2 linked regions of the Oryctolagus cuniculus genome follow. The protein of the gene in region 1 purifies or fractionates together with the protein of each later gene. This does not show direct contact. Links are inferred from orthologs where the notes say so. Each region holds a gene or a part of one and is shown on either strand. Other genes may lie near its edges.

Evidence for each region.
Region 2: the proteins of cyclin-dependent kinase inhibitor 2A (region 1) and UBE2I purify together in Homo sapiens (affinity purification with western blotting; 3 studies listed by BioGRID). This does not show direct contact. The link is inferred for Oryctolagus cuniculus from reciprocal best matches to the Homo sapiens genes CDKN2A and UBE2I.

Annotation. Positions count from the first base shown.
Region 1 is NC_091432.1:185,037,965-185,041,680, forward strand, and holds the start of cyclin-dependent kinase inhibitor 2A, read right to left. Parts: upstream 2,937-3,716; 5' UTR 2,879-2,936; coding exon 2,753-2,878; intron 1-2,752. UniProt on the Homo sapiens protein: Acts as a negative regulator of the proliferation of normal cells by interacting strongly with CDK4 and CDK6. This inhibits their ability to interact with cyclins D and to phosphorylate the retinoblastoma protein.
Region 2 is NC_091450.1:33,712,917-33,716,656, forward strand, and holds the start of UBE2I (SUMO-conjugating enzyme UBC9), read right to left. Parts: upstream 2,208-3,740; 5' UTR 1,942-2,207; intron 1,759-1,941; exon of another isoform or gene 1,602-1,758; intron 1,455-1,601; exon of another isoform or gene 1,302-1,454; intron 1-1,301. UniProt on the Homo sapiens protein: Accepts the ubiquitin-like proteins SUMO1, SUMO2, SUMO3, SUMO4 and SUMO1P1/SUMO5 from the UBLE1A-UBLE1B E1 complex and catalyzes their covalent attachment to other proteins with the help of an E3 ligase such as RANBP2, CBX4 and ZNF451.

The DNA.
Region 1 (3,716 bases):
TATCTATGGTCACCTCCTCTATAACTTCCTCTGCCGCTGCCACCTCCACAACCATAGTCTCGTCCTCCAACAAAGTCTCACCATGGCCAAAATTATCTCCACCACCTCCAAAGGTTCTTCCCCAACCCATAAAGTTGTCAGATTCATGTCCACAGCCACTTGGTGATCCAGCGGCAGACTGCACCTCTTGTTTAAAAGAGGCCATTTTCACTTCACAACTATGCCCATTAATAGTGTGCTATTTCTGAGCAACAATTTTTATCAGCCTTATCATGACATTCAAGAGATACAAAAAGCAATTCCTCTCCACTCCCCTCCCCAACTCTGCCTGTCTTCCAAAACGTCTACGGTTTCAATCTTGGCACATTCCTCAAATTAGATTCTTCTGTACCTTCATTAATACCACCCACAAAAATCTCCCTCACTCTTAAATGAACACCAGGCTTTACCAAATCCTCTCTAGAAGCAGCTCTCTTTGGTTCCACTCCATGTACAGCAACCTTGTGTGATCAAGCACACACTGCTTCATCCACCTCGTCAACACAAGAGAAAGCCACAAAACCAAAGCCCCTGGAATGTTTCGTTTCAGGGTCTCTCTTTACAGTCTGTGAGTGTGCCCCTATTCTTAAAGTGTTTTCTCCAACTATCAACTGTAGTTTCAAAAAGATCAGGACACCCACCCATCCACAGTTTCCTCAAATGCTCTGTTTCCTGCACATCACAGTCCTCCATTTTGAGACTGGACTCAGCTCTTCCAACTGCAGTTCAATATGGGACAGAGAGGAAGAGAGGAAAAACACTTCTAAGCTTATGATTGGAGAGTTTATTAAATGGAAAATGCTCACCTCTGATTCCTAAATCATCTTTGAAACAAAGCCATTCCCAAAGAGTAATTTTACAATGGTGTCCAAAATCACAGCAGCTTTACAATTTGACTGTTGAATGGAGAGGTGGGAGAGAGAGAATTCTTTCAGGATAACCACTGTTTGGTTATATTAACCCAAAGATAGTGACTGTGTAAAGAGGAATTACTTATTTCTAGTCATGTTCTGTCCATTAAACATGAATTACTTAATTCGTGTAAATCAAGGAGACATAATAAATTATACTGTAGCTGTTGAATCCTGCCTTGAAGAAAGTGAAACTGATTTAGTTTTCAAAATGACCAGAAGAAAATGTAAGTGAACTAAATTACAGTAACAGAAAGAAAGAAAAAACAGTGCACTGCACTGTTTGGGTATATTATAAAGTCCTTCATTTTGGTCATGAAGCTGGTCTTAAACCTTTTTTTAATGTTTTGTTGCATGAAAAAAAATTGAAAAGTGGCACACATTTAAATATTCAAACCATAGTAGCAATTAAAAGCAAAAAGAATGAATTAATTAAATGAATATTTGGAGGGTGATTAAATAAATTTAATAAGAAATTTACTTGAATTTATTTCTTTATTTTTTCTATAAACTAAGTATTTCTGTGTTAAACATAAATTTGGTTAGGGTTCTAAACGAAATTATCTTCCCTTTCTCCTCCCTATTAAGAAACTCAGAATCATCCAACCAAATTTGCCTTTTTTATTTAATCAAATAAGGTCTCTTCTAAAACTACAAAGCCAAATTGTTTCCATGCTGCTGGCAAAATTTTAGAGATGTGATATTATGAGTGGTGCACACATTATTATGCATACATTCTTAAATAACCACCCAACTTTTCAGTTTCAAAATGTCTCCATACTTCAGATCCCAAATGATCTCAAGTTTTAAAGATTTCTGGTTTTATTTTTATATCTATATTTTAAATATATAAAAGTTATCCTATGTAGCATAATTTCAGGAAAGGAGAACTCATTTGTGAAATTCCATGTAGAATTACTTTCCTTTGTCTTTGTTGTGCTGGAGTTTTTGCAACACGCATTCGTTTCATAAAAGTTTTCTTTCTTTATGAATCAGAACTCATTTTGACCACCAGGGATAAAACTAGGGTGGTGACTGCCAGTAAGAATTTGGTTTTAGACTGAAATTTAGGAAGTTGGTGTAGACAAAAGAGCAAAACAATCTACGTACGGCCCAAACCAGAGGGCAGAGGGGGAGAAATGACACTGCTCAACAATCCCAAATAAGTTAAGCCATAAAAACCAAAAAATACCCTGAATAATAGGAGATATCCCCAAAGGGTAACTATACATTATCTCAAGCGAGATCACAGTAATGCTTCTCTCCATATTTGTCTTCATTTCCCAAGTTCTTATAGTAAGTACAGATTACCTCAGTCAGAGTTAAAATAAGTAGCGTATATATTTACTTTTGAATAATTCCAATCGGTATTTTATCCGATTTCCACCGAAATCCCCCTTTATTGAGAAAGAGGATAAACACCATTCAGGGGCCTTTGAGTTTGGGGCTGAGAAGTCCCAGCAAATCATTATTAAAAATACATGGCTTTGAAACTCGCGTTTCATCCCCAACGTTCGTGAATTTTGCACCTGATAGAGTTAGATCTTATAAAATCGCTCCCCCTTGCCAGATCGTCCCAGCAGTCTAGAACTCCACAGCGCACGTGCCTGCTCTTTGCTTCGGTGGCTTCCCGACCCGCCACCCCACTGGGGTCGCCAGGAGAAAGTTTTTGATTCCTTGCTCCACGGGAAAACTCCCCAAGACGGATGCATCGAAGCGCTCCCCGGTAGTGCAGCCCTGCAAACCTCGCACTCCAGAGCCCCCGGCTGTCCGCTTCTCCGGCCGCCCATCCGCGCACCTACCTGGATCGCCGACCGACCATAGCGGTTAGGAGCGTCGGGCGGCACTCCGGCCTCGAGCAGCGCCCGCACCTCCTCCACCCGGCCCCGCGCCGCGGCCGTGGCCAGCCTGTCCGCCGAGGGCTCCATCGGCTCCAGTGCCGCCCGACCCTCGCTGCCACCCTTCCTCCGCAGCTGTCCTGAGTCAGAGGCTGCCCTACCCTCGGACCTTACGCTCGCTCCTCCTCTTTCTTCCTCTGGGGCTGGCGGAAGAGGCCCCCCAGACTCTGTCCTTGACTCCTCCCGCGGGAGCGCCGCGGCTTTCCATTGCAGGGGGCGCCGCTCACGTGTCTCTGAGGAGGCGCCATTCGCTTGAACGCCACGGGAACGTGACACCCCTGAAGTCGCCCCACGGCGGGGCTCGTCCCGGAGCCGGAAGCGGGCGGTGGGAGGGGGGCGCCTCGGGCCCCTTCCCACCTGTCCCCTCCCCACCGTGGGTGCCACGCGGGTCCCCGAGCGAGAGCTGTTCTCCCGCGTTTCCTCCCCTCCCAGTATACCCTGCCCCGCCCCCAGCCCCTGCGTTAGAAAACCGCGCGGGATTCCTAACTGCCACGCTCGAATCTGGGCGTTTGGTATCGCAGGCACAGTATTGCTTCCTCTTTTAAAATCAGAAGACTCTCAAAGCCGTCCCCTCGCCGCCGAGGAGGGCCAGAGAGGTGTTCCTTCTTTTAAAGGACGCACCGCCCGCTCCCCCTCTCAACGCCGGGCTCGCGCGCGCGGCGTCCACGCCGAGCGAGGCTGCCTGAAGTCGGGCCCTGAGCACTCGATCTGCAGAGTCGGCCAGCTCGCGCCGCCCCGCCCCCTCTCCCCGGTGAAACGGATGTAGGGAGCGAGGGTTTTGCTGGTACAAGGGCCAAGTCCTGTGGAAGGGCTGGCTTTGGCACGAGTGGGGCAGAGTTCTGCCTGTGGGCACATGGGGGAAGTGGGG
Region 2 (3,740 bases), on another chromosome or scaffold:
GGCCACAGCGGCCCTCAAGGTCCAGGACCACAGCCCAGGGCCCAGGCCGCCGCGCCTGGACTCCACCAGCTGCTGTCTGCCCCGTCCTCGGAACCCACGGGTGTCGCCCTCCAAGTCCCTGGCTACAGAGCCACTCCACGGCTCACCTGGCACTGGTTAGAGGGGGAGGCTCTGCCCGGGGCGGGCGGCATCCCAGAACCCAGCAGGCGAGAGCCCAGGAGAGCCAGACCTCCACAGACGATCGGACGAGGACCACGGTCCTCGGGCTCCTGAGTGCCGGCGCCTCCGGCCGTCGCACACCGCGCACGGCTGCAGGCTGAGCCCACGGCTGCTCCACTTCCCAGCCGGCTCCCTGCGGGGGGACGCCCAGGGCCTTGGGCCCCTGCACCCGCGTGGGAGACCAGAAGAGGCTCCCGGCTTCCACACGGCCCAGCCCCAGCCGACGGGGCCGTCTGGGCGAGCCAACCAGCGGCTGCGCGACCTCTAACTCTGCCTTGACAATAAATAAACCTTTAAAGAGGCGAAGCCGCCGCCAGGCTGCCACGCCTTCCCGCACCTGGCGCCCCAGCCCGGGCCCCTTCCGGGAACAGGCGTGGCGGCCCGGTCCCAGCACACCTGCCTGTGGCTCACCACAGCCTCCACCTGCACGGGCAGCGCGCGAGCCAGCCCCGGGCGCCCTGGGGTCCCCGGAAGCAGGCAGCACAGCACGGGGCAGGGGCCGGCAGGGGCCTGGGGGCCGCGGGGAGCCCGACGTCGGTCCCCAAGGCTCCTGTGCGCCTCTCACACCCTCCCCGCTGCAACCCGCCCTCCCGAGCCAGCGCATCAGAACTGCACCCCTGCCCGTGCTGGGCCCGAAAGAGCTCCGCCCACAGAGACCCCCGCGGCGGGCGGCGCTGCCCGTCCGGGCCGAGCCACAGGTGCGCACCTGCTCGGCGCCGGGCGCCCGGCCTCAGTCTCAGCACGCAGCCGCGCTGGACAGGTGGGCTGCCGCGGCCCGCACCGGCCGCCTCCGTGGCCCTTCTCGGCCCTCCCGCACCCGCGGACGGGCCCTCTGGGGCATGCACCCCACGCCTCCCTCGGCTGCGCCCGACCCCCGTCCCGGGACCCCCGCGCCCCGCCAGACAAAGGCACAGCGGCGGGCTTGGCCAGCGGCCTTGCGGGAGAGGGCCGGGGCGCCGCGCGGGGCAGGCGGCCCACACAGGCCCCGGGAGGCGGACGGAGGGCCGGGCGCGCTCCGGGCCCCGAAGACGCGCGACCCCCGCGGCGGGGCAGGGGGCTGGGGGCCGCGGCCACGGCCTCACCTTGGCCGGCACGGAGCCGCCCGCCGCCCGTGGCGAGCGGGGCGCTCTCGGCCGCGCAGGAAAACTTCCCTCGGCGGCGGCGGAGCCCCCCGCGCGCCCGCTGGTCCGCAACCGGCCGCTCCCGGCGCCCTCCCGGGCGGCCCCGCGAGCCCCGCGGCCCGAGGAAGGCGCGGCCCGGGCGGCCGCCGTGACCCCGAGGCCGCGCGCCGCCCGGAAGGCCGCGGCGCCCGCCTCGCGCCCCGCGCGGGCCGCCGACGGCCCGGCCCGAGCCCGCGAGGCCCCCCGCCCGGCCCCGCTCACCTCGGGCGGCCGCGGCCCGGCGAGCGTCACGGACGAGCGGGGGCCGAGCGGCGGCGGCGGCGCTTCCCTTTGTCTCGGGACTTCCCTCCGGAGCCCGCTCCGCGCGCAGCCCCGAGCGCCGAGGACCCCGGCGCGGGCGGGGCGGCGGGGCGGGGCCTGGCCCGGGGCTGCCCGCCGCACGCCTGCGCCGCGCGCCGCCGCCGCCGCGCCGCGCCGCGCGCCGCCCGCGGCCCCGCGCGCTCCTCGCCGCCCGCGCCCCGCCGCCGCGCGCCCGCGTCCCGCGTCCCGTCGGGGAGCCCGGCCCGGGGGCGACTTTCCAGTCAGGCGGCGCCCTGGACACCTGTGCTCTTAAAGGAGCCGCGTCCTCGAAGTGAGGGAGCGTCTGCAAACTCTCCTTCGGGGCGGGCGGGCGCACTCGAGGATACGCCGGCGAGCAGCCGGGGAAGGGGCGCGCCGCGTTCCTCAAGGGCTCCCCGGATGCCCGGCGGGCGCGTCTCAGCGCGTAGGTTCCGGAGGTCTCCTTGGGGCCGGGGCCCGGGGCCGGGGGGCAAAGACCACTGAGGCCTACGGATGCCCGAAACGGCGCAGGACGGCGACAATCCCCTGAGTCTGGCGTCCTGTGAAACCCCCTGCAATTGGCCAATGCAGGGGCCTGGGCGGGGCATCGTCCAGATCCGCCCAATCAGCTGACGCCGTACGGAAGGCCGGACGCTCGCCAGACCGACGGGAGGAGAAGCGCCGACGCTCCCTAGCCCGGGGCCGTCCCGCCTGGGGGAGGGGCGCGCCGGGATTCCCGCGCGCGGTCTCGTCCCACGAGCGCGAGCGCGCGGTTCGCGGGTCCGCGCCGTCCCGCGCGGGCACGGCGGGGTCGCCCCTGGGGCTAGGGCGCCGTCCGAGCCGTCGGCGCGGTGGGCGCCCGGGGCCAGGCGATGGGGTCGGCCGCAGAGGGCCTGGAAGGCACTCATTCACGCCCTCCTCCAGGCTCCGCCGTCCGCAGCCTTCGCAGCTCTGGTTTGCCGGGACACGGAACGTGGCTGACAGGCCTGGCGGCAGCGGCGGAGACCCCCGAGGGGGCAGAGACGCCCCTCATTCCCCGCGCCCCTAGGTCCCGGTCCCAGCTTCCCCGCGGTCTGCGCTGGGCTGTGTGGCCGTGGAGAAGCCGCTGGACCGCGGCCCTGGGGTCCCAATGGGCAGGGGTGGGGGGCAGGGCCTAGGTCTGCAGGTGGGGGGGGTAGGGCCCAGGTCTGTGGGGAGGGGGAGCTGGGGGGCCCAGGTCTGCAGGTGGGAGGGGGTCAGCTCAGGGGTCCCGGATCCGCGGTCCTCCACACGGGGACACCTGGGGCAGGGAACCCACCTCAGATGGGCCAGGTTCAAAGGACACACTGAGGCTGGGGGGGGGGGGTGAGGGCCCCGGCCCCGCCTTGGGGGGCAGCCCTCCACAGATCACCCACAAATCCGGGCTGGGGGGCTGGTCAGAAATCCACACCTGAGCAAAACCCAGAACTCCCGAGAACAGGTGCGTCCCGACCCCGTGCCGGGGGCGGAGCCGGGGTCTGGGCCCACCCTCGGGGGGGGGGGGAGTGTGCGTCCCAGGACAGCCGGCGACCGCGGGCCCACCCCGCCTCGCACTCCCGCCCAGGGAGGAGCGCGCAGAGAGGCTGTGTCCCGGGGGGAGCGGAGGCCGGGCCCTCCTCCCCGTGGCCGCCCTTGGACGCCCTTCGCTGCCCACCGCCTGGTGACCGCGGGCAGCGCTGTCCCTGCCCCAGAGCCGCGCCCCGCCCGGATGCGGGACGCACCTGCCGCGCGCTCCCGCCTGGGCCTCGGCTGCCTCACTTCCGTCTCCAGACAGGGCCTCGCGCACCTGCGCCGCTCCCGCCTCCGGCCTCTGCCCGCGAGCGCTGCCCGCCCAAAGTCGCCTGCGGGGGCTCCTCCCCGGCCCCTGGGCGGCCGGGCGGGCGCTCTCGGAACGCCCCGGGGGCAGGGGTCCGTCTGCCTCCGCACCTACAGGACTGCGGCGCCTTTACCTGCCCGGGTGGCCCTCGCGCGGCTCCCCCGCGGGACCTCGCACCTGCACAGCAGGTGGGCAGCCGGATGCTTGGCTGCGCGGGGGAACCGGGGGCGAATCCAGCCGTGCGGTGC